Danio rerio: one gene and its partners. The protein of the gene in region 6 interacts with the protein of the main gene of each other region in a pairwise test. Links are inferred from orthologs where the notes say so. Each region holds a gene or a part of one and is shown on either strand. Other genes may lie near its edges. The genes, in order: iqub, tcea2, si:ch73-264p11.1, tshz3b, dtx2, trim54 and cdkn1a.

What was found.
Region 1: the proteins of trim54 (region 6) and iqub interact in binary tests that used the Homo sapiens proteins (3 or more experiments, as listed by UniProt). The link is inferred for Danio rerio from reciprocal best matches to the Homo sapiens genes TRIM54 and IQUB.
Region 2: the proteins of trim54 (region 6) and tcea2 interact in binary tests that used the Homo sapiens proteins (3 or more experiments, as listed by UniProt). The two-hybrid records come from large-scale screens. The link is inferred for Danio rerio from reciprocal best matches to the Homo sapiens genes TRIM54 and TCEA2.
Region 3: the proteins of trim54 (region 6) and si:ch73-264p11.1 interact in binary tests that used the Homo sapiens proteins (3 or more experiments, as listed by UniProt). The two-hybrid records come from large-scale screens. The link is inferred for Danio rerio from reciprocal best matches to the Homo sapiens genes TRIM54 and SH2D1B.
Region 4: the proteins of trim54 (region 6) and tshz3b interact in binary tests that used the Homo sapiens proteins (3 or more experiments, as listed by UniProt). The two-hybrid records come from large-scale screens. The link is inferred for Danio rerio from reciprocal best matches to the Homo sapiens genes TRIM54 and TSHZ3.
Region 5: the proteins of trim54 (region 6) and dtx2 interact in binary tests that used the Homo sapiens proteins (3 or more experiments, as listed by UniProt). The two-hybrid records come from large-scale screens. The link is inferred for Danio rerio from reciprocal best matches to the Homo sapiens genes TRIM54 and DTX2.
Region 7: the proteins of trim54 (region 6) and cdkn1a interact in binary tests that used the Homo sapiens proteins (3 or more experiments, as listed by UniProt). The two-hybrid records come from large-scale screens. The link is inferred for Danio rerio from reciprocal best matches to the Homo sapiens genes TRIM54 and CDKN1A.

Annotation. Positions count from the first base shown.
Region 1 is NC_133200.1:30,219,505-30,223,802, reverse strand, and holds the start of iqub (IQ motif and ubiquitin-like domain-containing protein), read right to left. Parts: upstream 2,801-4,298; 5' UTR 2,650-2,800; coding exon 2,373-2,649; intron 1-2,372. UniProt on the Homo sapiens protein: Adapter protein that anchors the radial spoke 1 (RS1) complex to the A microtubule of outer doublet microtubules in axonemes. The triple radial spokes (RS1, RS2 and RS3) are required to modulate beating of the sperm flagellum.
Region 2 is NC_133198.1:8,860,857-8,864,858, reverse strand, and holds the start of tcea2 (transcription elongation factor A protein 2), read left to right. Parts: upstream 1-1,202; 5' UTR 1,203-1,383; coding exon 1,384-1,452; intron 1,453-1,939; coding exon 1,940-2,002; intron 2,003-4,002. UniProt on the Homo sapiens protein: Necessary for efficient RNA polymerase II transcription elongation past template-encoded arresting sites.
Region 3 is NC_133199.1:29,156,836-29,160,792, forward strand, and holds the start of si:ch73-264p11.1 (uncharacterized protein), read left to right. Parts: upstream 1-1,157; 5' UTR 1,158-1,206; intron 1,207-2,079; exon of another isoform or gene 2,080-2,220; 5' UTR 2,221-2,340; coding exon 2,341-2,474; intron 2,475-3,957. UniProt on the Homo sapiens protein: Cytoplasmic adapter regulating receptors of the signaling lymphocytic activation molecule (SLAM) family such as CD84, SLAMF1, LY9 and CD244. In SLAM signaling seems to cooperate with SH2D1A/SAP.
Region 4 is NC_133182.1:48,576,844-48,580,840, forward strand, and holds the start of tshz3b (teashirt homolog 3b), read right to left. Parts: upstream 2,801-3,997; 5' UTR 1,774-2,800; intron 1,432-1,773; 5' UTR 1,083-1,431; coding exon 1,043-1,082; intron 1-1,042. UniProt on the Homo sapiens protein: Transcriptional regulator involved in developmental processes. Functions in association with APBB1, SET and HDAC factors as a transcriptional repressor, that inhibits the expression of CASP4.
Region 5 is NC_133180.1:65,451,274-65,454,625, reverse strand, and holds the end of dtx2 (probable E3 ubiquitin-protein ligase DTX2), read right to left. Parts: intron 2,967-3,352; coding exon 2,721-2,966; 3' UTR 501-2,720; downstream 1-500. UniProt on the Homo sapiens protein: Regulator of Notch signaling, a signaling pathway involved in cell-cell communications that regulates a broad spectrum of cell-fate determinations.
Region 6 is NC_133195.1:42,036,189-42,040,488, reverse strand, and holds the start of trim54 (tripartite motif-containing protein 54), read left to right. Parts: upstream 1-1,500; 5' UTR 1,501-1,612; coding exon 1,613-1,780; intron 1,781-4,300. UniProt on the Homo sapiens protein: May bind and stabilize microtubules during myotubes formation.
Region 7 is NC_133197.1:623,148-627,270, reverse strand, and holds the start of cdkn1a (cyclin-dependent kinase inhibitor 1), read left to right. Parts: upstream 1-1,323; 5' UTR 1,324-1,518; intron 1,519-3,078; exon of another isoform or gene 3,079-3,082; coding exon of another isoform or gene 3,083-3,121; intron 3,122-4,123. UniProt on the Homo sapiens protein: Plays an important role in controlling cell cycle progression and DNA damage-induced G2 arrest. Involved in p53/TP53 mediated inhibition of cellular proliferation in response to DNA damage.

The DNA of each region.
Region 1 (4,298 bases), on a different chromosome or scaffold from region 6:
CCCTGCAATTAGTACAATTGTTATTATTCAATACTTTATTATTATTATTATTTTTCATTTTCCATATTTGTAATACATGTATTTTGGCATTTTTTTTTGCAGTCCACTTAAAATCCAACATGGAAATCAATATTTTTTTTATTGGCATTGATTGTTTTGAAATTCAAATGCCATTAACATGCCCGTGTTTTTATTTCTGTAATAAATATGGCTGTCAAGCCAGGATCTTGATAGTATATTGTGGGTATGTTGTTTACATGAAGAAATCTGTGTTACAAGTTAAACAAAAATTCTAATAATGAATTATATTTTGAATTTAAATAGTATTTGTCTTGCGTTTACATTAATTTTACATTCGAATAGCCAAAATTACAAGTTTGTCTTTTAAATGCGATTAATCGCGATTAATTTTTAAAAAGTGCGATTAATTGGTTAATTTTTTTTTAACCGATTGACAGCACTAGTATATATATATATATATATATATATATATATATATATATATATATAAACAAACATTTTATTCCTCACTGAGTTTTAAATCTAAAGTATGGCAAGCAACATTATGGATTTAAGGATGGACGACATGACAGGACAGATGCAATTTGCAAAATGTGCCGCGCATCTGTAAAATACGCGGGCAGTATGACTAATCTGAAATCTCACTTGAAGCGGCGCCACGGTGTTGTTGTGAAAGCATCTTTCAGTGTTCCTGCATCCCCGGCTTTCGCACTGCTTCAACCAAGTTTTTTGCAACATAGAGCAAGTTTTTTTTCCGTGCGCAACAGTTTTGTGCGCTCTACGCCAATAACGAATGCTATTGCATTGTTCATCTGCAAAGATATTCAGCCTAGTGTCACGGAGAACGAAGGTTTTAAACACCTCCTCCTGTTAATTTTTATTTAATTATAATAATAATAATATTAATAATAATAATGATAAAAATAATGGGTGGCACAGTGGGTAGTTTGACCACCTCACAGCAAGAAGATTGCTGGTTTGTTATATTTTTATCAGCCTGTTGTTTACAGTGACAGTGATGTTTCAAAGCAGCATAACACTGCTAGTTCACAACCTTAAGTTTTGAATAATCAGTGGCAAAATATCTTTGTAAAACTTGTTTTCATAGTTGAAAAGTTAAATCACAATTTTTGTTGTGCAATGCTAAACCTTTATGTTGAAAGAGTGCAAATATATATATATTTTTAATATATATTGCACTTATACATTCTGTTTATCTTGAAAATACTTAAATAATATGTGCTATAGGTTCTAAAATGGCCCTCTACTGTAAACTGACACTCTGGCTCTGAGAGAAGAGCCAGTTTGTAAAAAAAGTCTTGGTTTTGCTTGGTTTATAAATAATCAAACTCATTCAATGGCACCAGCATCCTCTTTCACATCATCTCATAAACTTGATCTAATAAGTTAGTGCTGAAATATCGCATCGTATCGTGATATGGGTGTGAATCGTATCGTGTTGCATCGCAATATGTCACAAATGTATCGCTAATATATCGGATCGTATTCTTTGTATCGAGATGCGTATCGGATCGGCATTATAGCTTAGATGCCCAACCCTAATATATATATATATATATATATATATATATATATATATATATATATATATATATATATATATATACATTCATTTACCTTCGGTATAGTCCCTTTATTCATCAGGGGTAGCCACAGCAGAATAAACCATTAACCCATACACTTTCACATTCACACTACAGCCAAATTCGTTTATTCAGTTCACCATTATTGCATGTCTTTGGACTGTGGGAGAAACCAGAACATGCAAACTCCAGCCGGAACTCAAACCAGCGACCTTCTTGCTTGGAGGCAACAGTGCTAACTACTGAGCCATTATTATTATTATTATTATTATTATTATTATTATTATTATTATTATGTGTGTATATATATCTATAGTTAGTAACTCTTTACCATAAACATTTTTAAATCTCTCTTTTCATATTCATGTAATATTTATATATTTTTTCTGCTTTAACAAAATGTTTTTTATTAGTGCACCAAAAAAAAAAAAAAAAAAAAAAAACACACACACACACATTACAACGACACCATGTAGGGGAAAATACTATTTAATGCATATAGAAATATGCATACATGCTAATAAAAATTAAGCAAATGAGCAGAAACTAAATAAGCAAACGTTTTTTATTTAGATTGAGTTTGTGTATTTTGATTACTTAATTTCACCTTTCATTTAGCTTTTTCTAATTCGAATAAACATTTAAATTATTTAGTTTGCATTACAAAATCCCTATATTTCTCTTTTAAATTTCTATATTACAAAACTGTCATACCTAGATACCAATACTATGGATTCTAGTATTTACCCGTTGCTGTTGAGTTTCCAACATCATTGGAAGAAATGATCTTATTTTCACTTCCTTGTTTGTTTATATCGTCTTGTTGTCTTTGGTCTTCAGAAGTTGGTTCAGCGCTGTTTTCTTCTAGTAAAAGTGTGTCCGGATTTGTAATGACGTCCACACTGATCTCTTGCGTGTGTTCAACATCTTGATCTTCATCAGCCTCCTCAGTCTCTATTTGAATGGCTTCTGATGACATTTTTTGCTCTTCAAGGTTCACAGTTTCACATTCCTTTTCTGACATTGCAGTCACTCAATGCTCAAAATACGCAAAAACACGATTGCCTCTCTTTATTGTGAAAGCTATCTGACGGCGAAATCTTTATTATTGTTTTAAATAAAATAGTGGATCTTATGTTTACGCTGGCTTCACTGTATTTCGGCGCTGCTATGGTAACCACAGTGTCGCCAGTCGCTAGGAGTGTCCATTCACAAATGAGTCATTCGCTTGAGCCGATTCTTTTTTGGTGATTCAGTCTAACCGACTCGCAAAGCGTTTGTAATTGAATGCTAGCTGAACCACTTTGTTTAGGATTATAAGAGTAAGACGGGAAGTAATTTAACTCGAAGAAATTTAACTTCGACTGATGCCCTTGAAAAACTAAACTAAATATAGCCTAGTTCTGATGACAGAATGAATTTAAGCATTAAGTCAAACAGTTGAGTTACTCAAATAGTCATTCATTCATTTTCTTGTCGGCTTAGTCCTTTTATTTATCCGACGTCGGAATGAACCGCCCTCATTTAAATAAATTACTGTTATTTTTAGTCACCATTTTGTGCAAGTTATCATCAATCATTTTCTTTTTAGCTTAGTCCCTTTATTCATCAGGGGTCGCCACAGCGGAATGAACCGCCAACTTGGGTTTTATGCAGCGGATGCCCTTCTAGCTGCAACCCATCACTGGAAAACACCCATACACCCTCATTCACACACATACACTACAGCCAATTTAGCTTACCCGATTCCCTTATAGTGCATGTCTTTGGACTGTGGGGGACACCGGAGCACCCGGAGGAAACACACGTGGCCATGCGAACATGGGGAAAACATGCAAACTCCACACAGAAATGCCAACTGACCCAGCTGACGCTTAAACCAGAGATCTACTTGCTGTGATGCGACAGTGCTATCCACTGCGCCACCACGCTGCCCCACTAATTAATTAAACCAGGCCTTTCAGTTTCATTGTCCAACCTCTGTAGATCTGCAATACCTTTTATTTTCAAATTAATTTACATAATATTTAATAATCAGTTATGACAGTTATGATAATCAGTTTTTTAGATGAAGCTCTTCCTTACTCATGCAAAAATGTGTGGATATGCTTAGTAATTTTGTAAAATGAGTTTAAAAGTTGTCTAATGTCTAATGTTTCTCTACATTAACACTGATTCGTTTTCATTTCCACAACACCCTGTCATTTCAGTCCCCACACACAATTTTTAAAAGTTCTTATCAAACATTAAAAATGTATTCAAAATTTATAAGCTTGTACTCTGTAATATACAAATTCAATGTATTTATTTGTTAATAAGCTCTTTATCAATATAATATTAAATCATAGAGTCTGACAGCTGTACAATTCAGCATTTGTTCCTAAGGGACTAATTTATTCCATTGACAAATGTATAATTATTGTATACATTGTGGAAGAATAGGTTAAGCTAGATACAAAAATGATCTTAGACAATATGACTGGCATCATTTATTTTATTTTGAGATAAATCTTTATATTGAGATGCGGTGGAAATGGCATTGGTTCATTTCATGATGGAAAAAAAGTTGAACATTAACAATTCGTCACGGTCACACAAGGAAGGTTATCTTTTAAGGGTATTTATTTAAAAAACAATGCAGCTGATGCAGAGAGATGAAGCAGGTAAGTGGTT
Region 2 (4,002 bases), on a different chromosome or scaffold from region 6:
AAACAAATGCTGGATAAGTTGGCGGTTCATTCCGCAGTGGCATCCCCAGATTAACTATATATAATATAAGGCGAGGTAGTGGCGCAGTAGGTAGTGCTGTCGTCTCACAGCAAGAAGGTCGCTGGGTCGCGGGTTTGAACCTCGGCTCAATTGGCGTTTCTGTGTGGAGTTTGCATGTTCTCCCTGCCTTCGTGTGGGTTTCCTCCGGGTGCTCCGGTTTCCCCCACAGTCCAAAGACATGAGGTACAGGTGAATTGGGTAGGTTAAATTGTCTGAAGCGTATGAGTGTGTGTGTGTGTGTGTGTGTGTGTGGATGTTTCCCAGAGATGGGTTGCGGCTGGAAGGGCATCAGCTGCGTAAAAACTTGCTGGATAAGTTGGCGGTTCATTCCGCTGTGTCGACCCCGGATTAATACAGGGACTAAGCCGACAAGAAAATGAATAAATAAATGAATAATATATTATAATAAAATATAATATAGCCTAAACCCTTTTTGGATGATGAATATAATTTTGGAGTATGACGATTGCAGTTGTCAAATAATTTAAAAACTCTTTAATCCGTGTTAGGACTGCATTGTCTCCTTAATAACCTAAAGTTGTTATTGTTTTGTTTTTGTTTTTTTTACACCAAACTGGCTGCTTGCTTCTGTGGTGAATAAACTCCACTCCCCACAACACCCTGCTTCGAAACAGAAACTATGTGCAGTGCAGCTCATTTTCGCGAATCGATTCTTTCAAACACCACTCAATGAACAATTCAGGGATGATTTTTGTTTATGTCATCACGTGACCAAATGACATCTCTTTGTGGCATAAAATAGGCTTAGAAAATCAATACTGCAATAGTTAACCTTTTTTTTTTACTATCAAACGTGTTTATTTTAATTCACATTGACCTAGTTAGTTAGTGGCTCACAAGCATTGGACATATCCTGAAACTTTTTTGACTTTTGTGTTGACAATTCCCACAGAACCATATAGCCAGTAAAGTACATTAATAACTTACCTTTCACTCCATTTTGGTCACTTAAAATGATACTCTTGTGTCATTACGAAATAAAATGGCCAGAAAAGACGATGTTCTTGAATGATTTTCCAAACAATTGGTGAGTTGTTGTGTCGAGAAGCACAGTCACTGATTCAATCTCGTTCGTAAACGAATCGTTCGAATTCAAGTGATTCTTTAAAATGATTCGACTCATAAGAACGACTCGCTCGCGAATCAACCATGCAACAACAGACGAGAGCGAAGTGAAAGGCAGTGGATTCCTCTCATTCTGCCACTAAAAGAGAGACACACAGAGAGAGAGACGGGCGCATTTTCACACGTAAATGGAGGCTTGGCCACCGGGCGCCATCAAACAGCCCTAAACCTGCAAACATGGTGAAGGACCAAGAAGTGGAGCGCATCGCCAAGAAGCTGGACAAAATGGTGCACAAAAAAAACACCGTAAGTGACACACATTTTTTTCTGTAGCATCTGATAATAATAAAACAGGCAGGAGAACATTGTTTATTCGACGTTCGTTCGTTCATGTTTGTATCCGTTAAACCAGCAGGAGACTAGTTGGTGTGTGTGTGATTATCACCTGTTTCATCCTATTCCAGACTACCGCCCGGTGTGCTCTTATTGGTCAGTCTCCATTGACAATCACTCGTTCGTTTTGTACTCTCATGTTTGAAGCGTTTGTGTGCTGTGATGAGCTGGCAGCTGGTTGTTCTCCAAATTTCTCCAGCGCAAACAAAAGACTCATTTATCTAGTACTTCACACAAGTCAGCCCCAGTTTCGTCCCCAAAACATAGTATCTGCCTGTGTTTTTGTGTAAACCAAGCTATAGTTGAAGAAGCTAGTGTTTACTGACGCATTTAAGAAGTTGTTGTAGTGACTGTTTACCAATTTTGTTTGTTTCTCACCTCCTTGTGTTTTTATGTTCAGGATGGTGCCATTGACTTGCTTCAGGAGCTGAAGAACATGAAAATGTCTTTGGAGACCCTACAGGTATCTACATAGACTGCAGAAGGCATCTCTGGAACGAGTGTGTGCTGTGCTAGATTATATAATCAACTCTTTTTCTTTCTGTCAGGGAATCCCATGCTAGTGTTCTCATTGGCATACTGTTAGTACTGTTGGAATTTCAGCAGAAAATATCTGAATAAATTACTATGAGCCAATCCCGAATATAGGAGAGGACGTTGAAATCTCAATCAAATTCTCACAATCCAGTCATGAAAATGTAATCAACTCTATAGACGAATTCAATGTTGTCATGTCATTGGCCCAGTGAACATTTTCTGCTTGTTATCAAACTATTTCATTACTGTAACAACAGCAGTGGTGTAAAATAACAAATTACAAATACTCCGATTACTAAAACTGAGTAGTTTTTTTTTCTCAGGAATTGTAATTTACGAAGTAGTTTTAAAAATGTGTACTTCCCCTAGAGTACATTTTTACAGCAGTATCTGTACTTTTACTCCACTACTTTCCTTCAACCTGCAGTCACTATTTGTTTTTTTCTTGTGTACGGGGATTGGCTTAGTAAAAAATCTATCCAGCGATTCCTGTCCAAATCAAATCGCACAGAGAAAACTCAATTGCATCATATTGAACAACCTCAATACATGGATGCTTTATACATGCAGCAAACCATTGTAAAAGTATTGCAATTGTCCAAGAAGATGTCAAAAATCTTTACACGCAATGAGCCAGAGGCTTTTTAAACTATGTCACTGATAAGAAGATGAAGGGTGTTTACTGTATGATGAAATTGTCAAATGGACTTAAACAATCACTAAATGCACTACAGAATGTTACGTTTACACACACACACACAAATTGCATGTACACGCATCAGCTTTTCACAGAGTAATACTCAATTCTCACTATTGAGTACTTTTATCATTGTGTGGCTCTCTTTAGATTCTCGAAAGCTTTAGAAATTATAAAATGTAAAACAGAAAAATACGCTGGGACCATTGTTTTTGTTTGCATGTCTCAAAATGATCTATAATGTCATGGCGTTTGACAATTTTTCGGATGAGTACGTAAAAAATAGCAATTCACACCTAATGAACCCTGCTGACTGATCTCAGAAGTGCTAATTTCTTTTTCTTTCTTTCTTTCTTTCTTTCTTTCTTTCTTTTAAATGGCAGAAACTATAAATCTAGAAGACCACAAATGCATTCAAGACCATTTTTTTGCTTGAATTTGATAAAAAGCACACAACAGAGCAACTTTCATGAATTAAACTACGATGTGCTTTCAATTCCAGTTTGTTCGTTGAATTTAATTTAGTATCATTCGTGTTTATTTTTTGATTTATGATTTAATCATATTGCCAATGTTACAAAATGCCAAAATGATGCACAAAAGGCACAGTTTATTTACTTCAATTTTATTTAGTTATTTATTTCACCCTACATTACTAAATTGCATAAACAGTCAGTGTTTTTTACTTTGGTTTAGGTAATTTAAGCAAATGAATGTGAGAAATAACTGAAAACATAAATATAATGCATTATCTCCACTGTCTTGCTTGGTTGGGACTTGTGGAGCTGCGCATCGATGGATTTGCTCTTCAGTGTTTGAACTTTCAGTAGTGAAAATTTATCCACACTAAACTGAACTTCAACTTTGACATCTGGACTCATACAAATTCTATTTTCTAGAACTTTGTTAAGGGGCTTTAACACAATCTACTTCGTAAAAAGTGCTATAGAAATAAACCTGAATTGAATTTTATAAGCATTTAATTTTATAATATTTACTAATTTCAGTTAGAGTTCGTTTTAGATGATGAGCAAAATATTTTCTGTTTAATATTTTATTTATTTATTTTTTTTTATTGTAATACCCCTGAGATGGATTTAGTCAATATGGATGGAGGTAATGTGCAGACAAACAGCCCTTATTGGTCCCTGAGGAGAAATTAAAGCACAACAGATCATCAGTGTTCAGAAGGAAATACCCCAGAGCTCTGGCTTTGTCTTTCGATATCA
Region 3 (3,957 bases), on a different chromosome or scaffold from region 6:
CTAATGGTGGCATTATTCTTTTAATATTCAGCTTCACCGCCGCCTTAATGCCAGATTGTGAAGAGAAGTGGAGAAACAACTTGCACAGCCTTTATCTTAATTTCGTTATTGCCAAAATACCCGTCATCATTTAGAGTTTATTTTAATTTGATTTGTTAAGCAAGATTACTTTTCATTGGTGTGTTGGATAATTTAAAGGCTAAGTGCATGTACCTAGACCAGAGCGCTGAGATGTTACGATGTTACAGCTGTAGGACTTATTTTATTTCTTTGTTCCAACTTTCAAGTGGCCTATAGTCTACGCTTGTTACGAATAAATGATGTTAAAACATATAAATGACTCATTCTTAAAAAAATGCATTAGAGCTGTGTGCATGAGCACATTTTAATGTAGGCTGTGAACGGGTTTGGGCTGTATAAAGCTGTCAGTCAAAATGTACCTGTCGGACTCGGGACCTATCGGGTATAACTGCTGTTCCGCGGGAGCCGGCCAGATTTCTTACGGTGTGGGAGTAAATTTCTGAATAAATCGCGGGAGAGATGTGTGTGTGTGTGTGTGTGTGTGTATTAATATTAACTAATACTTTTGTTCCAATATAAATGTTATACTCACAATACTTTAGATAATGTTAACAAGCTCAAATTAAATGGATTACTAAATGTTGAACTATTATTAATAAATACATTATTGTGTTAGTAAATAAACCCAAGTCACATTTTACTAGCATTTCTTATCACATTTCAACCAGTAAACAATATCAACTGCCAACATTGAACATACAACTGTTAATTGTTGATATAAAAAAATATTTAATTTAAGAATTTTATATAAAGAATACTTTTTGATGTTAACAATTAAATAGTTGATATCAACAATTCAGTTATTTCAAACGAAAGAAATATAATGAATGCTGAATGTTGAAATCAATAAAGCATATCCTAAGAATAAGTCAAAACGGCTTTCCACAGAGAGCCATAATAATATCAACAACATTTATTATTTTAAGTTTTGTTGTGTAGTTTCAGGTTAATTTACCTCGATAGTACGCTGAGATGTTCAAATGATTCAAATGTCGCGGGTGGTGGGATGGTCTCTATGGTTTCAGCAAACAGTCATCTTAACTCCGCCTAAGATCCGCCTCTGCCCATTTTCGAGTATCCGGGAATGACGCACTTCCAAGATGGCGACGGCTGACCACGCCTACAGTAAGCTTCATTTGCGCTCTTCAGAAACCTATGGGTGACGTCACGGACACTACGTCCATATTTTTTACAGTCTATGGTTGTAATGCGATTACAACACATGCAATAAATAGACTTAGGCATTCATTTAGTTGTTCAAGTGTAAAACGAGATGAAAGACCTTTGTAATTACTAGCGCCATCAGTAGCAACAGGCTATTGCAGAAATTCCATTGAAAAATACTGGGGTAAAATATTCTGTCATATTTTAAAGACATGGCGGGGGGAAATGTAATTTAATGCAGTGCTAGTCCGATCTGAGACCCACTTTATAGCCTATCGTATATCTGACATTCAGTGAAGATCGCTGATTTTTAAAGCAATCAGACCTTAAACGTGACAATTTTGTAATGAAAGACTGTCTTGCTAAAAATTAAAAGACTGTGTGCATATAGCCTATTGAGTTCGCCCAATTTTGAAAATGAGTATTTTTTATCCTTTTCCCAGTAAATATAGTCAATGTATTTTGGTGCATTTAAGCAAAACAGATTTATTAAATATATATTTATTAAAATAATATTTAGTCACTAAACATATTTAGTGATATTTTACATATTTGTAAGTTATTTTGTTAGATAAGCTCTAGGTTTGGCTTCAGTACTGACCAATCTAATGTATATGCACAAATATAACATTGTATAGCTTCCTATTAAAAATATGAATTTAATAGATTTGTGAGGGTGCACTATATGCTATAGGTTGTGAGTTTTTAAATAATCTTTTTAAACCTGTTAAAGTTCTAAATTTACGGAACATGTGTAAAAGACGGCCACTAATTATGAAAAATGATATAGGCTAGGTTAAGATAAATATATATATATATATATCGCACGGTTACTGCTTTTGGTACATCTACACTTCCTTTGACCACTACGCACTCTAACCCACTTCCTATGAGCTGGTTCGTGTCTGTCTGCATGATATGCATGCCCTTTGATGGAAAGCGTGCATCACGCACATTCATCGTTTCTGAGTGTAGGCATTAAGGAAGATTCCCTCCGCAAAGATAACAAGTGGACTTGTGACGGAAACATCTGATCTCTTGGTGTAAACAGCAGTTGACCTGCTCTACCCGCTCCTCACACGTGCGATGTGAAGCATGGACCATCCATCGTATCATGGCGCGATCACCAAACAGAGATGCGAGGAGCTGCTCGGCAACAAAGGGCGGGATGGGACTTACCTCATTCGGGACAGCGAGACCATTCAGGGAGCTATGTGCCTATGTGTGTAGTGAGTATCTTTTGGTATTCATGTTTTTAGTCATTGACTGAGCAGAGCTAATTCGTTGTAAATGTCTTGCTTTCTCAGTTATACCAACGTGTAAAGGTATTTATTCAATTACCAGATGAATGAATGGAGACTGGATTACAGTACTTAAAGGGATAGTTCGTCCAAAAAATGAATAATTCCTCGCAATTTTCTCAGACTCATTTGGTTCTAAACTTATGTGAGTTTGTTTTTGTTAAACACAAAGCAATATTTCGAAAAATGTTGTAAACCAGCAGACATTAAGTCCATAGAGGGAAGAAATAATACCATTCAAGTCAACAGCTCCTGCTTTACGTCGTCCTTCCTTCTATTTTCTTTTATGTTCGACAGGAGAAAGAAACTCAAACATGTTTGAAACAAATTGAAGATGAGTAAATGATGACAGAATTTTTGGGTGAGCTAACTTTAAGCTATCTCTTTAAGTTGAGCCACCCCCTAGTAAAGTTTGACAGGTATTGACAGCTACATTGACAGTTGTGATAATGTTTTGTTATATTCATTAATTGGACATGTTTTTACTTTAAAAACAGGGAAAAGGCAGAAACATTGGCATTTTTAGGGCTGCACAATATGCTGAGCCACCCCCTAGTAAAGTTTGACAGGTATTGACAGCTACATTGACGGCTATAATAATATTGTGCATATTGCACATGTACATCAGTTTCTTGCTTTGCTTGCTACTATCATAAAAACATACTTAAATTATGAAAATATAAATTTAAGACATTTTCCACACCGCTTTTTTTTGTTTGGGTTTATATGTTGACATCAAATAATGAAATGTAATAAAGGAGTAAACAAGCTAAAACATCAATATAAGTTTTACTACAGCCATTTTATAGCAGGTCAAATGTGAAACTTTGATTTTGACCAGTCTTAAAAAATTATTAATGACATTTTAAAAAAAGTGTTGCGTGATTTTTGTCACTTAGTGCAATAATGTTATGTTATATTCATTAAGTGGACATGTTTTTACTTTAAAAAGTACAGGCAGGAAAATTGGTATATTTAGGGTTGCACAATATCCGTTTAACTGGCTGCTCTACCAAATGGTTGACCATATTTTAAATACTGACTTTTAAGTCATCTAAAGAATGACTGTTTTAAATAATAGTTTACACAGCATTGTTGATTTACAAAAAAACTAAACAAATATAATCCTGTTACACTACTACAGTTGATTTTGGTTTTATTGTAAAAAAAAAAACAAGAAAACATGTTTAATAAGAATCTGAAATATTTCATGACACACTTCAAAAAATAAAAAATGATTTACTGTTCAAAAATGTTTTATTATGATTATGTTTTTAAATTAACTTACACTTCAGATTTTCACATTTTTTATAGTATATGTATTAATTCTGGTACTTTACACATAAACTGACAAATTAACCAATTTGGTAGGGGTTGATAATTTAGAAATTATGGAATGTGTTGAAAACAA
Region 4 (3,997 bases), on a different chromosome or scaffold from region 6:
TATATATTCTGTTATTTTTAGACAGTTCATTAGAATGAAGCAGAACTATCGTTGTTTTTAAACGGTGTGTTTCTGTGTGTGTTCCTGATGTTGGTGCTCTTTAAGCAATAGGAGTAAATGTGGCCTTGTTCATGGCCTATGTGGAAACAAAAAGTAGAAATGCAGCAATTAAAGATGTTTTAATGGATGGCTGTCAAAGCAGACGTGACGTCACGGGGTTGTGGCGTTGCCATGGCGAGTGATTTATTGATGTTTATCAGGAATGAATAGATCAAAGAGCATCCGGATGACAGGCGATCAATCAGCCTTCAAATCAAAGATGGCAATTGTCCATTAAAGGCTCTTCTTAGACCATCGCGTCAGCTACAAAATAATCTTAAAGTGTCATTCCCAGAAACGGAGAGGAAGAAATAATAAAGAAGAAAATTAATGAGCAAAATAAATAAAGTTGTCAAATGAGATCAAATGTGTTGCTTTCGCACAAAAGCCCCCAAAACAACGAGCATCAAAGGGAGTCATGACAGTCAGCTGACACCCAAGCCCTTTTTTCCTGCTCTTCTTTATAGATCTCTAATTCATGGAGTCAATATCTACGCCCTACGAGGAAAGCGAGCGGTGTAAAAGAGAGAACAATCAAAAGACTTACAGTCGACTCAGCTTCAGCTGCACGGGGACTGACCAAAGTACAAGAACTAGGCTAGTGAAAGTGTGCTCTTGAATGAAGTTCAACTATTATTCAGTCGTTTGACTGCTATGTGGCTTTAAACAATCTCCTACACAAATGTAATAAAAATAATTAAAAAAAAACATAGGCTTTTAAAATTATAATAAAAAGACAAAGAAGAAATGAAAAAGTTTTTCGGCGTTTAAACCCATCTGATAAAGTAAAGGAGGAGTGGGTAGTATTTTCAAATCATTCACAACACTCGCGCACACACATACTGCGTTACTAAGAAAATCGTGCAAAAAATAAAAAAATACATCTGAGAGGTGAAGAAGAGCAAATGAAGAAGAAGAAGAGGAGGAAGAAGAAGAGCCGTACCTGCCGAGCGCCGGGGCGCTTGCTGTTTCCTCCGCGGCATGTTTCTCTTTCAGGGTTTTTTTTTCAGGAGCCCCTGAGATCCCGAGAGCTGCTCCGCTTCTGCTCTGATACACGGCACCTGGGGCGCTTTCACACGCCTGACATGTATCGGCAGTTTTCAAACCAAAAAATCAGACGGCAAGATCTGAAGAGGATGAAGACGAAGCGGGATTTTCCCCCTCTTTCCTCTCTCTCTTTCCCCCCGCGCGTCTTTTGGATATGACGGAGAGTCGAGCCGCTACAGTGGGGAGAAAAACCGCTCGTGCCTCAGTGCGATCCTCACTCACTCCGCGCTGGAAGCTGCAACAGGCAAGCTTAAAGGAAAACGAAATGATCGCGTCACTCAAAGTCTGCAAACAGAGGCAAACATCAAGCACTGTCATATTAACTCCTTCCATCTCGAATGGGTTAGCTAGCTCATGTCATGTGGGTAGGCATATGTCTCTCTCTCTCTCTCTCTCTCTTCCTCTCCCCCTCTCTCTCCCTACCGCAGCCAACCCCAATGCACTCTAATAGTAAAAGTAGCAGCTCACAAACACAACAACTATAGATATGCAATGATTGACACTTACATAGGCATGTAGCAAATCGACAATCTGAGTTAACGTTTTTTTTGTTTGAGCGTAAAGCCAGTGCAAGGCAGGCAGCAGTGATCAGTGATTTACAAACATAAACATCAAAGCTTTACTTACGCGATCGCCCGAATAAACGTGTTATCCATGAGGAATCCTTCTGAGTAATCGCATACAATTTGAAAAGCCCCCCCAAAAATACAAAAAAAAAAAAAAAAAAAAAAACGAGCGCTGCTGTCGCCGATAGCTTTCTGTGAAAATCCCAAAGACTCCAAGTGCCCACCGTCTTTCAAACGTCCATCTCTTTCATAATAAACAAACCGGGGGAAAGACAAAAAGCTTGAAGGAGGAGATGGACGGACTTGTCGCCCGCGCGCTGCCTCGTTTGCTTATTTTGTCCCCGCGCGTTGGGAATCCGCTGAGAGAATCGATGCGATAGGTGTTTGATTGGGTATTCCTGCTTGTAATAACGCACATCAGAAGGAGGGGATGGACTCGGGCTGCGCCTCAGCTGCTGCTGCTGCGAGAGCATGGATCACTGAGCTATTGCCAAACACTTTCTTGGCCGCTAATAGCACTTTTTTAGCCTTCTTTGTGGGGCTTGTAGCAGGTATTTAAAAACAGCAACGGGCGAAGCAGACGCGTCTTCCTCTCGCTCCCGAGACGCCTTTCTCTCCTCTAATGTCACTTTCGAAAATCCGTTGTTTTCTTCACAGAATGGACTTTTTAAGACGGTAAGATCAACATTTTTTCAAATATGTCCATCTACTTAAGACAAAAAATAGCAAGTGTTATGAAAGAGACAGTTTTATGCGTAAATTGGAGTCAGTGTAAAGTCATTTGTAGTGGAGAAATGGCGAAGTTGTCCGTTTTGGATGAGGAGATTGGAACTGTGAGACTCCTCTCTGTTTACTAGCTGAGGGTGAGTTGTTGTCAGACTCTGCCTCCTCCACTGAAGTCCTCGTCTTGTCCTGGAGCTCCTGCTGTCTCCTCTCACATCTCACCGCGGAGGGAACCGCGTCGAGTCCTCGGGAAAAGGGGGGCAGTCGGGAAGTCGCAGCGTTCAGTAAAACCCCCTAAAAATGTCCAGAACCTCTTGAATGTCCGCGCGCCGAGCTCACAGGGGCAGATTGAAAGGGAAGAGAGCGGTCTTTCAAGGATCCGGGATGTTTTTGCCCAATCTCACTCACTCGTGTGTGCATGCCGTTAGATCCGCCCAAGCATCTGTCCGTCTAACCATTGGCGCATCCATCAGTGTCACACACACACAGACACACACACGCCGCACGGAGTCGCTTTAACTACGGGCAGCTTCTCTTCTTCATCAAACCACTGATAAAGCAAGATTACAGTGCTGAGTGGGGGAGGCTTTGCGATTTTGTTTCGTTTAAGGAATAATGAGCTTTATAATTACGATAGCGCTAATGGGTAATCGGAAACTAAGTGGCAAGTCTATGTGCACGAGAGTGGATTTGAAAACTTTAGCGGAGAAATGTTTCTATAGCCACAATGTTACGCGTTTATAATAGTTTACCAACGAGTATGCTAAATCGCATTGGTTTTTGCGTTAATCGGATCAGATATTCATAAGCTAGCATATAAGAATTATTTACCCTTTATTTATTTACTTTCTTTAAAAAAGTCTGACACTACTTTTTAAATTCTCTTTTGCAGTTTTCACGGTTGGGGTAAATCTTTTACTGGTTTATTTTATTTGCTATGAATTACAGCTTTATATAAAATTTATTCTGGACTGCTGTGTTCATTTTTAGGGCCATATTTCAACGATAGTTTTAGTATGAGCATGTGACCACTGACGAAAAAACCTAATTAGGCTATATCATTAAATCTTGTTTTGAACTCCGAATTTAGTTGACTACGTCTCTAAAAGTCTTAAAGACTTTCGTTGTCTTAAAGACTATATAACATAGACAGGTAATATTTTTCCTCAGCTTTGTACTTTGTGAAGTGTAGATGCATGGGCCTATATCCAAATAATAAAACAAATAAATACAAGCAATTAGCAAATAATAAAATGGAATCTTCTTGTAATAACTACAAGTTATAACTAAGTGTGTGTGTGCGCGTTTCTGTGTGTGTGAAACAGAGAACAGCTGCACATATGAACGTGAGCGCGCAGTTCAGTGTATCCCGCCCCCTTTTTATGTGCTTATCCTAAAATCCCCAAAATGTTCGATTGTAAATTACATCGATTTAGGAAGTTTTGCATTATTATTTTGCCAAAAATGACAACACTGTGATTGTTCTCAGTTACTCAAAGAGAAGAAAAGGTACGTCACATTTTTATTTCACTTCATTTTTTCTGTGTTTCTCATGTGTATAT
Region 5 (3,352 bases), on a different chromosome or scaffold from region 6:
AGTGCAGAAATTTACCGTAAAATAACAGACGTCAAATTACAGACATTTACCATAAAATAACAGCCGTTAAATTACAGAAATTTACTGTACAATAGCAGACGTTAAATGAAAGAAATTTACTGTAAAATAGCAGATGTCAAATTATAGAAATTTACCACAAAATAGCAGATGTTAAATTACAGATATTTACTGTAAAATAACAGCTGTTAAATGACAGAAATTTACGTAAAATAGCATACGTTAAATTACAGAAATTTACCACAAAATAGCAGATGTTAAATTACAGATATTTAGCTTAAAATAGCAGCCGTTAAATGACAGAAATTTACCGTAAAATAACAGACGTTAAATGACAGAAATTTAATGGAAATTTCTGTAATTTAATGTCTGTTATTTTACTTTTTTTTTCCAGCATCCCAGCTGCCGGTGAAAAAAAACATTAGAAAACTGATTTTTTTTACAGTATGTATACTTATTAACAAGTAACAGAAACAAAGAGGTGCTGTTAAATGGAGTAGTGTTTATTGCTGATTAGAAGTTGAATATATATTTATATATACAGTTGCATACATTGTAAAACCAAAGATCCCATACCGTGGAATATGAGATGAAGGAATGAATGGATGTTTCCACACTAGCTGTTTGGTAATGAACTGTAATTTTATCAAACACTGCTGATTGTCTCTGTGGCACAATGTAATACTGCAACTCAATAATAACGCTGCGAGACTGCATTTTTTACGTGTACTTTCAAGGTCCCGTTCGTAATAAAATCAGCACTGATTTACTTGATGTACTTATGAATAAAACCAGCACTAGCAGTATTGCCAAGCTTGGATTTTGAAATCGATAAAATGAACGTAAATTCAAAGTTGCAATATTTTGTGGAATCAATGAAAACAAACAAGTCCCTTATGTTTATTAATTAAAAGAATAGCAGCAAGTGAGAAATCACCAAATCTGACATCTGAAAAAAAAAATTAAATATGAACTAAATTAGCTGCAGATTCTGTAAAAGTGCCTTTTATTTCTGAAGCGGTACGTTTTACAACACTAGTAAAGATTTATGATTTGCACTGATGTGCAATTTTATGTTTTTGTATATTACTGCTTTAAAAAGTGATAGTTCATCCAAAATTAAATTGTACTGTTAATTTACTCACCCTCTTATCATCTATGATGTTTTTTCCAGTGGTCCTTGATGAGTCATATGATGCATGTCAAAAAATATCAGCACTTTGGGAGTGTAAAATAAAATAAAAGTAAACATACAGACAAAACAAAATGAATACATATGGCTCCTGGAGATACAAGAGGTCTTGTAAAGCAAACTGACTGGCCTGTGAAAGAAACTGAACATTATTTATAGCATAACATTACTGGAGTATAAACGCCCTGTTGCATAATGACTTCTATTAAACATTAAAGAAACACTCCCCTTTTACTTTTAAAAGTACCATAGAGTTTTACCATATTTTAATCCATCCAGTCGATTGCCGGGGTCTGGCGAGAGCACATTCAGCTTAGCTTAGCATAATTAACTGAATCGGATTAGACCATTAGCATCTCAAAATTTTCAAAAGACAGTTTCATTAATTTTCCTATTTAAAGCTTGACTATTCTCTGTCTACATTGTGTACTAAGAGTGATGGAAAATTTAAATATGGCTATATGATATTTCTACACTCTCATTCTTGAATAATAATCAAAGAACTTTGATGCCGTACCATGGCTGCGACAGGCACAATAATATTATGCAGCACTTAAATAAAAACTACAGAACTTTCAAGCTTTACATAGCAAAACTATCAAAACTTTTTTTTGCTAATTTTGGTAATTTTTTTGAGCAAGATGCTAATGGTCTAATCCGATTCAATAAACTGTGCTAAGCTAAGCTTAAACATTAAGTTAAGCTTTCAACAGACCTGGAGATTAGTTCAATTGGATTCAAAAACTGAAAAGTTTACCAATAGGTGATTTGTAAAGTGAGGCAATTAAAAATTTGTAAAATGAGCCTATTAAAAGCCTATAAACTAACCTGTAAAACGAGCCTTCATTAAAAGTATTCTTTAAAAATGTTTACATTTTGCTTAACAAAATGCCATAATCCATTGTTCTCTTGATCTTTGGGAACCATTCGGCTCTGGATAATAGGTAATAATGTAGTAATTAATGTTCAATTTCATCATTTCTTTTCATAAGACCTCAATGTAGCAACAAGAGCAAACGTCCTTTTGTTTTGCCTGTACATGCATTGAAATTTTAGCTAAAAAATAGTCATTAAATGTTCTATTAAAGCCCAAAAAAAGTCTTGGATGGCCAACAGCTTTTAAAAAAGCTAATGTCATATGCGGTTGAGCTTTCCCTTTAACGAAATAGTGTCAGCTTGATTCCCAGCAACAGTACAATGATCTCTGCTCTACTGTAATGTAGTATTTGAGGAAGGACGTCACAGCTCTGTATATTGAGATGAATGCCTAAACTGGCGATAGAGGTCATTAAACCCCGAGTCGTTCCTGCAGAACCGTCAGTAGCTGCCTCACAATACGCTGAAACTAAAGATGACCACGAAGCCCACATGTGCGTTAATATTCTAGACTCGGCCGTACGCGTGGAAATGGATGAGTTGGTATCAACATCCAAATCTCTTGGTGAACAGCGGACACTCTAGTTTTGTTTTCTTCCCTTTTCGTCAAGTTAGATCTACCGTAGCCGGTTATTCACATGGCAGAACCTTGAGCGTCTCGTTTGAGGCAGTCTTCGGTTACGCCCTGCGATGCCAGTTCTGAGAGCACATTGTCCAGGTAGTTTGGGTCAGGATACCCATGGCCAGACACATTAGACATCATCTCAGTCTTGTGGTGGATCTCGTTCCATATGACGGTGTCGGGCTCGCCTGTGGTGCTGGAAGTGCCCACGGTGAAGATGAGACGGCGTGTCCATGCTACTTTCAGCAGCTCCAGCACCTGCAGATGGTAAACATGAACGTAATAAACAGCCTCAGTTTAAGGAGTTAGTTCACCCAACAAAGACAATTCTGTTATTGATGTTATTTTAATCCCCTGAGAGCTTCCTTCATCTTCACAACACAAATTGAAATATTTTAGACCAGTGTTTCTCAACCACGTTCCTGGAGGACCACCGGCTCTGTGCATTTTCCATGTCTCTTTAACCAAACACACCTTATTCCGATCATCAGCTCATTAGCAGAGACTAAAAGACCAGTAATGGGTGCGACAGACAAAGGAGACAACCAAAACATGCAGTGTTGGTGATCCTCCAGGAACGTGGTTGAGAAACACTGTTTTGGATGAAATCTGAGAGCTCTTTGGTCCTCCATTGATAGTTTTGA
Region 6 (4,300 bases):
ATAAGCTGCTTATTAACAGTTTGTGAGGTAGTAGTTGGGTTTATGTGTTGAATAGGATAGTGCGTGTAGAATAAGTATTATTAAACAGCCAATATCTTAATAACAGGCAGGTAATAATCCAGTAGTAAATAAATACTTAAACAAAAGTCTTACTAAACCTTCATTTTGCTTTGTTGCTTAACCTCTTTTACATGTGACTAATTAAACTTAATAAAATTCCAATATAATCTAAACTACACTGATATTAATGCATTGCATAGCATTCAATGTATTACTACACTTCAAAAAATGTCTTTTGCTGCTTAAACTACTCTCTTAAAATAAGCTGAAACAACACAATTCTTAAGGGTTTTTTAGGGCACACTTAATATTGGAAAAACTAAGTTAACTTAAGTGAATTGAACAAAAAAATAATATTAAAACAATTAAGTTAACATAAATTATTTGTGTTGAGACAACTTGAGGGAATTGTGTGGAACCCAGCATTTTAACAGTTTATATACTATATTTGTAAACACTGGATTTGCAGGTACAGTGGGGGGAATAAGTATTGAACATGTCACCATTTATAAAACACATAACATGAAATGCATATATAAAAAGAAAACCAACTAAATTAGTTTACAAATTAAGTGTTGTGTAATAAAATGAAATGAGACAGGAAAAAGTATTAAACACATGAAGAAAGAGAGGTGTAGAAAGACAGTGAAAGCCCAGACAGCAGCTGAAATCTCTTAGTAGTTCTTCAGCAACACTCTGCCCTTCATCATTGTAAATGAATATTAGCTGCTTCAGTCCAACATCTACATTATCAGGATGATGAAAATAAAACCACAGTGGACATTTCAGCAAGACAATGATCTAAAACACAGTCAAGGAAACTCTCAAATGCTTTCAGAGATAGGAAATCAAGCTGTAGAATGGCCCAGCCAATCACCTGATTTGAATCCAATATAGAATATGAAATAATGATCAGATTTGATAGACGAGACCTGAGAGCCATCAAGACTTTTACACTGTTGAAGCCAGTGAAAAAAGTCACACCTGAGCAATGCATATGACTTCATTCTCCAAATGAGAGGCGTCTTTAAGCTGCCAAGTCAACAGCACCTTTAGAAATATGTTTTCTGAGAAAAATGTTGACGTGTTACTTATTTCCCCCACTGTATATCCACATAATCTATGTGTTCAGAGCACTTAGGCTTTGTTTTAGGTGGGTTATATCATCGGCGCCAGCTCGGGCTCATGGGCCTGCTTGTCTCACTAGCCTTTGAGTCGCACACACCAGCTGCTTGGTCTGCCATGCCCACTTTCTGCTCAAGTTACCACAGATAACACAACTCTGAGCAATCCGTTCTCCCACCCCTCTCTCTTGCTCTCTCTCTACCCCGGACCCCTCAATGCAGCGCTAACTGGGGTATTCAAAGTGATATTAAGGGGGTGTGCAGTTTGGACAGTAACCCAAGCCAGTACAAACACAGCCCAAATATATCCTCTGCCACTCTACGGTTGGCGATTGATTGGGCATCTGGATGAAGACTGGCACTGCTGGAGAATAACAGAAGGAAAGGAAGTTTAGGATCTTAAGCTATTGACTGAATTTGGTGTCCAAATGAACTTCACTTTGGGCTTCAAACCGTCGATCGGAGATTCCAGCTCAATGGAGAACTTGGAGAGGCAACTGATTTGCCCCATCTGTCTGGAGATATTCAGCAAGCCTGTCGTCATTTTACCCTGCCAGCACAATCTCTGCAGGAAGTGTGCCAATGATGTTTTCCAGGTAATGCTTTATTGCTGTTATTATATAGTGTACGGCCTGTTTTGAACTGTAGTATCTAGAATGCTCATTTAACTTTTGAGAGCTTTTTTGTAATTGTAAAAGCTGGAAGAGGATCTGTGTTTTCAAGCCATCTATTTTCCCTTTAGAATGCCTAATGAGTTTTTAAAATACTGAGTTTGGATTTATAAGTTGAAACTGGTTCAAATGATGCAAAGAGACTTTTTGTTCTTTAATGTAAGGCAAGATGAAGCAAGGCAAACTTTATTTATAGAGCACAATTTTAAGCAACTGTATTTGATCCAAAGTGCTTTGCAATAAAATAAACTAGACAATAAAACTAAAAAACTGGTATTAAATACAAGGAAATGTATATGTTTAAAAGTAATACTAAAATACAAGTTAAAAAAATAATAATAATAATAAATAACATGCATGCATCACTCAAAGGCAAGAGAGTAAAAATAAGTCTTTAAGTTAGATTTAAAAGCATCCAATGAAGGAGAAATCCTGATGTTCAGGGGGGGACTGTTACAGAGCCTTGGGGACACAGAAAGCTCGATCACCTTTTGGTTTGAAGCAAGACCGAGGGACAAAAAAAAAAATTTGGTCATGGAATCTTAACGGTCTACAAGCTGAATAAGGCCTAATAAGTTCACTGACATAGACCGGGGCAGAATAGTGCACTGCTTTATAAGTGAAATGAAGAATTTTAAAATCAACTCTGTATTTTATAGGTAGCCAGTGCAATGAGGCAAGGACAGGGAAGATATGATCTCTTTTCTTAGTTCCTGTTATTAATATAGCGGCTGCAATGTACGCCCCCCACCCCCCAAAAAATCGTAAATTAGCAGTTTTTTGTATGATTCACCCCCTAAACCCCTCACCCCTTCCCCCAACAGAAAAATAGTACTTTAATATATTTTCAGAATTTAAAAAAAAAAAGTTACTTTCAATTTCAAATGTATTTGCTGTATTTTAGATCAAATATATGCAGACTTGGTAAGTGAATAATCTTCTTTCAAAAAACAATACAATTATTTCACCGAACACAATAAGAACGCAATTTCAACATTTTGTGATAACATACCCAAATGATTAAAATACATTTGATTTATTTTAAAAATCATGGTAATTATTATATTTTAAATGTATTTTTAAAATGTAATAACATTATTATACACTGTAAAATTATTTTGTAAACTAGCAGTTTTTGTGATTCACGTTGTTTATTGATGCTTTTATTTATTTGTTCGTTTAATTTTGTTGTTTGTTTTTGTGGAGTTTTCAAAAAAAAAAAAAAAAAACCTCAATATCAATGTTACAATTTTTTTTTTAAACAATAGCTCAGGGTAAACAAGAACATTCAAAAGCCCTCAGTCCCCCATCCCACCCCAAAGGAGGAGATTAAAAAACGCACACAACAACATAAGCACCTACAAGAATTGCAACTAAATAAATATACATAAAATATAAATAACACACACAAACATTAATAAAAAGGGCAGAGATCTTTCTTGAAAAAAAAAATCATATAAATCAGTGAAGAGATGTGTTGTATTCCTGACAAAATTAATTACAAAAGTTTATTTATGCTTTTGAATTACATTATCGGACCTTGATCTTTCTTCCAATAACATATAACCTTGAAAAGTTTAAAAATGTGCCGTTTATGAACCTTTTTTATACTTTAAAGTGATATGTTGTCTGGGTTGGTGCTCTATACGGTACCGAATTGTGTGAAACCTAGCATTTTTTTTTACACTTTGGCATGTTCAAGTGTGTTCAGTTAGTGTTGGAGCAAAACTCTGCAGGGACACCAGCCCTCCAAGATCGAGTTTGTCCATCCCTTAACTAATTGATCAGATATTAAAATGTTTTAAGTTATATTGTTAATGATGTTGTACAGTATTCCCTTAGCTGAGGCCTAATATGAAACCAGAACTCAAAGTACCATAGCATCTGTCATACAGAGATTAATGATCCATTTAGGCTTTCTTTTTTGTGCCAATCTCTTTTACTTTGCTCCTTTTGGCATTAGTTTATTCATCTCATCATCAAGACAAGTTCATCCTTTAGCAGTCATTATTAGTGTTGTTTCTTCTCTCTCTGCGAAGTGAGTGCCATTAGGTCAGACTTCAACATGACTGAGTGCTTCTAATTATACTTTTAACAGTTATAAAAGATATCTGATGGGAACATTACACATTTTTTTGGGCAAATAGATTGATTCTGGCTGGAAGTGCATTCACAGCGTAAAACATATGCTAGAATAGTTGGCGGTTCATTCTGTTGTGGTTACCCCGGATAAATAAGGAACTCAGCTGAAGGAAAATTAATGAATAATACAATAATAATAACACATTTAATTTACAAAGCTCCTTTAAAAGTTACTTTTTTAAAGTGCTTTGCCTACAAACCTCATTTATTAAAGGGAACAACAGTAAAAGATCAAAACAGATTATTGAAAACATGTTAATTAAAAGCAGTCCTAGACAATTCATCATTATATATACTCCAGAC
Region 7 (4,123 bases), on a different chromosome or scaffold from region 6:
GTATGCAAGTATATAAGTGTATATATAAATCTATTGCATCCCTGCAAAAATAAATATATAAATAATTATTCGTGCGGTTTGAAAGAAGGAAAAAAAATGCTTCATTTTCAGTTGAACATTTTCTTATTCCCCCGACATCTGTATAATTTATTTAATTAATAATCTCGCCGCACTATTTTTATATTTATTTATGCAGGAATTTGTGGGTTTTATATGTATTTATTTGCATATTTATTGTTTTATTTCTGCAGGAATTTATGGATTTATTAAGGCCTACTTATGTATTTGTGTATTTATTTATTGTTTTATGTATGAAGGAAATTGTGGATTAATAAATATTTATTCATGTATTTGCATATTTATTCATTTATTGTTTTATTTATGCAAAACTGTGGATTTATTTATTATTTATTTGCATATTTATTTATTAATTTATTTATTTATCTATTGTATGTATATATATATGTATGTATATATATATATTGTTTTATTTATGCAGGAATTTGTAGATTTATTCATGTATTTGCATATTTATTTACTCACTGTTTTATTTATGCAGGAATTTGTGGATTTACTTGTTTATTTATTTGCATATTTATTTGTTTTATTTGTGCACGAATTTGTAGATTTATTAATTTGCGTATTTATTGTTTCATTTATGCAGGAATCTGTGGATTTATACTTTTTTATTTGCGTATTTATTTATTTATAGTTTTTGCAGGCTTCATCCTCCATATCTGTACCATTAAACAAAAATTACGAAACATTGCAGTTTTATAGATACTAATCTTAGGAAACAAATATGTGTGTGTGTGTATGTGTATATATATATTAGTTCAGGAAATCTCACTTTGTTAAAAATTGTGTTCCTGACGTCATACATGCAAGAACAGTGTTTTTTCTCCACGTTTACACACTTTTTTTTTTTTCTTACAAAGGCTGAAAGACCAAAAAACACCAAGCTGTAAATCAGTACATCTGGGTGGGGTTACTATATGCCCAGCAGCTCCTGGAGAAGTACTTCAGAAATGTTTAATATATCTATTAAATATATGTGCTTATTTGAATTGTTAGCGTGATCACTGATTTCTCTATATTTGTTATTGATGAGTAAATAATAGCACAGTCTCGTGTAAAAACAGCGCGTTTTCTGGGCGGCTCCTCGGAAGGTTCTGTTCTTTTCTGTGACGCTGATCTTCTGGAATGTCTCCACGCGCTCACGTGTGGTCATGTGTTTACCGGGCTTCTAGTCCACGTGCAGCGCTCGCAGGCTCCGCCCACCGCCTCGACACGCCCATCGGAGTTCATAAAGTTTGGGAAAGTGTCGTCAGAGGCAGCAGAAAAACTCCAGTGTGCAGATCCTCCAGCTCAGGATTGAGTTTCTCCACACTTCCAGCTTCAGGTGTTCCTCAGCTCCTGTTTTAAACCTGATACTGCTCCTGAGGAGATCTGAAACCCTCACATTCACTCTGACATCAGCGGGTTTACAGTTTCAGCTCTTGCAGAAGCTCAAAACATGTAAGTTGCATGTTTTAAATACTTTTGCACGTTTGTTGTCGGGTATTTGCTTATATATTGCTTTATATATGCTGAAATTGTGTTAATGTGATGCTGTGAGTGCTTTAGTGGAACTTTTCTAAACTTTAGTTTGCTCTGTCAGATAACACTCGACTGAAATAAACACCTCAGACTGACTTTAATCGAGAACTGTGCTGATCGACCGGTGTGAGTTGTGATTGATCGATTGTTATTGTGTTATTGTGAACTCCAAAGTCTCGGTCGTATCAGATCTCGACGTGTTTTCCACCGGCTTACACGAGTTTCAGCTTCACGTGGAGCGCTGGAGTGAGAGGGCGTGTTCTTGTCAGCTTCTGGCCAATCACAGGCGGACTCGGTTTCCCGCTGACTTCTTGAATTTTTTTTTCCTCGAGATGAACGGCACGTTCCATCGCAGAAGCCAATCAGAGTCCAGTGACAGGCGCGTGACGTCACCAATGAAACTTCTTTCTTCATCTAATTTTTTTTTTTTTTTTTTTTATTTTTTAGAAAATAACTTTTTGAAAATTGGGCGGAAAAAACTCTAAAGAGCACGCCACATTACAGAAATATTCAGAACTACCAATGATTTAATACACTGTCAGATTTAGTAAGTGTATTATTTTCTATATATTTTAATCATGACATGCATTATTTCAGTGAATTATGCAGTTTAGTTTGTCAGGGTTGTGGTGTGGTAAGTCTCTTAAAAATCTTAAAGGTCTCCTGGTAAGTCTCTTAAAATTAGAATCAGACTGAACATCTTAGATAAAAAATTTGACCTCTGACCCTCAAGAACATGTTGCCCATTATAATGCACGAGAGTTCATGACGGGTGTATATATATATATATATATATATAATCATATATTTTAGTAAGTAATTTTATTTTGTTGATGATGCATATATTAAATGCACACATACAGTACATACACACCCATATATATATATATAACGCCAACTTTTATGAAGAAAACGTATAATATTGGCATTTTGCTAAGTAAATATGTAGATATCATGTATCTTACAAAGAAAAAACTCAATTTTGTTAAGTTTCATTCATTTAATGCAGATTAAGATGGATTATCATTATAAAATTACACAAAGTTTTGTGTAATTTAAACATTATTAACTTAATTTTTCAACTTTTTTAAATGAATGAAAAGTCAATCAGTTGCCTAATATGGTGATTTTTTAAAAACTATTTACCATAATATTAAGATAAAGGTTAAAAAGGAATTGAATTATAATGAACACTGTCAGTTTTAATGACAGTTCTTAATATTACATTAAGATTCTAGTTTTCAGTTTAAAGGCTTAACCAAGTTACTTTAAGTCATTGGACTACAGTGGTTTGATAATGAAGCTTCACTGCTGGACTAATAATGTAGCTGTTCAGCTGTAGGCGGCGCTGCATGTCTAGCGCTGCTCCCTCTGGCGGCCAGGCGCGCTCACTGCAGCCGCTCGAACATGCCCGAACAAATGCCGGTCCTCTGTGACTCACTGCCCAATATAAAAGCACACCAGCCCGCAGAAACTCTCAGTCATGACAGCTCAGAGGCGCAGAGCTCGCGTGGAGTCAGCAGTAGGATATTTATGCGAATTAACCAGGAAAATGTTTTATTAGCATGCGAAATGTTAAGGTTTTCTGGATTGATCTATATGTTTTTTTGTGTAATACCTTACTGAATTATGATTATGTAGTTGTCTGTAATTACCTATTGATATTTATATTATTATTTATTTTTAAAATATTAGATTATAAAGATTTTTGCATTAGTAGATAAAAAAATATTATTTAATGAAGTGTGTGTGTGTGTGTGTGTGTATACATATATTTATACATTTATTTATTTATTTTTTTTATCTATTAGAATTTTGTAGTCACCATTTGTATTTGTTTTTTTTTATCCCTTTTTGATTGATGTAACTATGTATTTATATAATAATATATATTTCTAGGTCTCTTATAGAATTATGAAGTTGTCTGTTTATGTAATATTGGATTGTTATAATGACACAAAGCTATGGTAAATCTATGCTTGGTGTTGCAAAACCCTATTTTTAGCATGGTCTAACTTCCAAATAGTAAACAGTAAACTTTAGGGCTTAAACATAGGTCTGTATGACTGTGGCTTTATTTTAAAGTACACAAGAAATCCTCTTGTTGTTAGCTCACATTGCTAATTTTGTGATGAACACTTCATCTGTGCATGTTATTAACAAAACAATAGTTTACATTGTAATCCTTAATGTAAATCTGTAAATGAACTTCCTGTTTGTTCAGGTAAATTCTCAGATTGATCTGTCTGAGGTATTGGGTGTGGCTAACATTCTTAACCACACCCCTAAAACTGTCATCGCTATGACAACAAACAAAAATAAGTAGGAGGAGGAGTCTGTTCGGTTGTAATAACTCTCCCCAAACCCTTTTCCCCATCTTTCCCCAATGGAACGCCTACTCTACTACAGCCAATCAGCTAGCAGTAGAAGAAAACAAGCCACGCCCACTGTTTTCATTTAGAATTCAGTTTGTCTAGGAACTGCGTCACAATACGAAAAAAAATGCAGGTTCTGGTTCATGTGG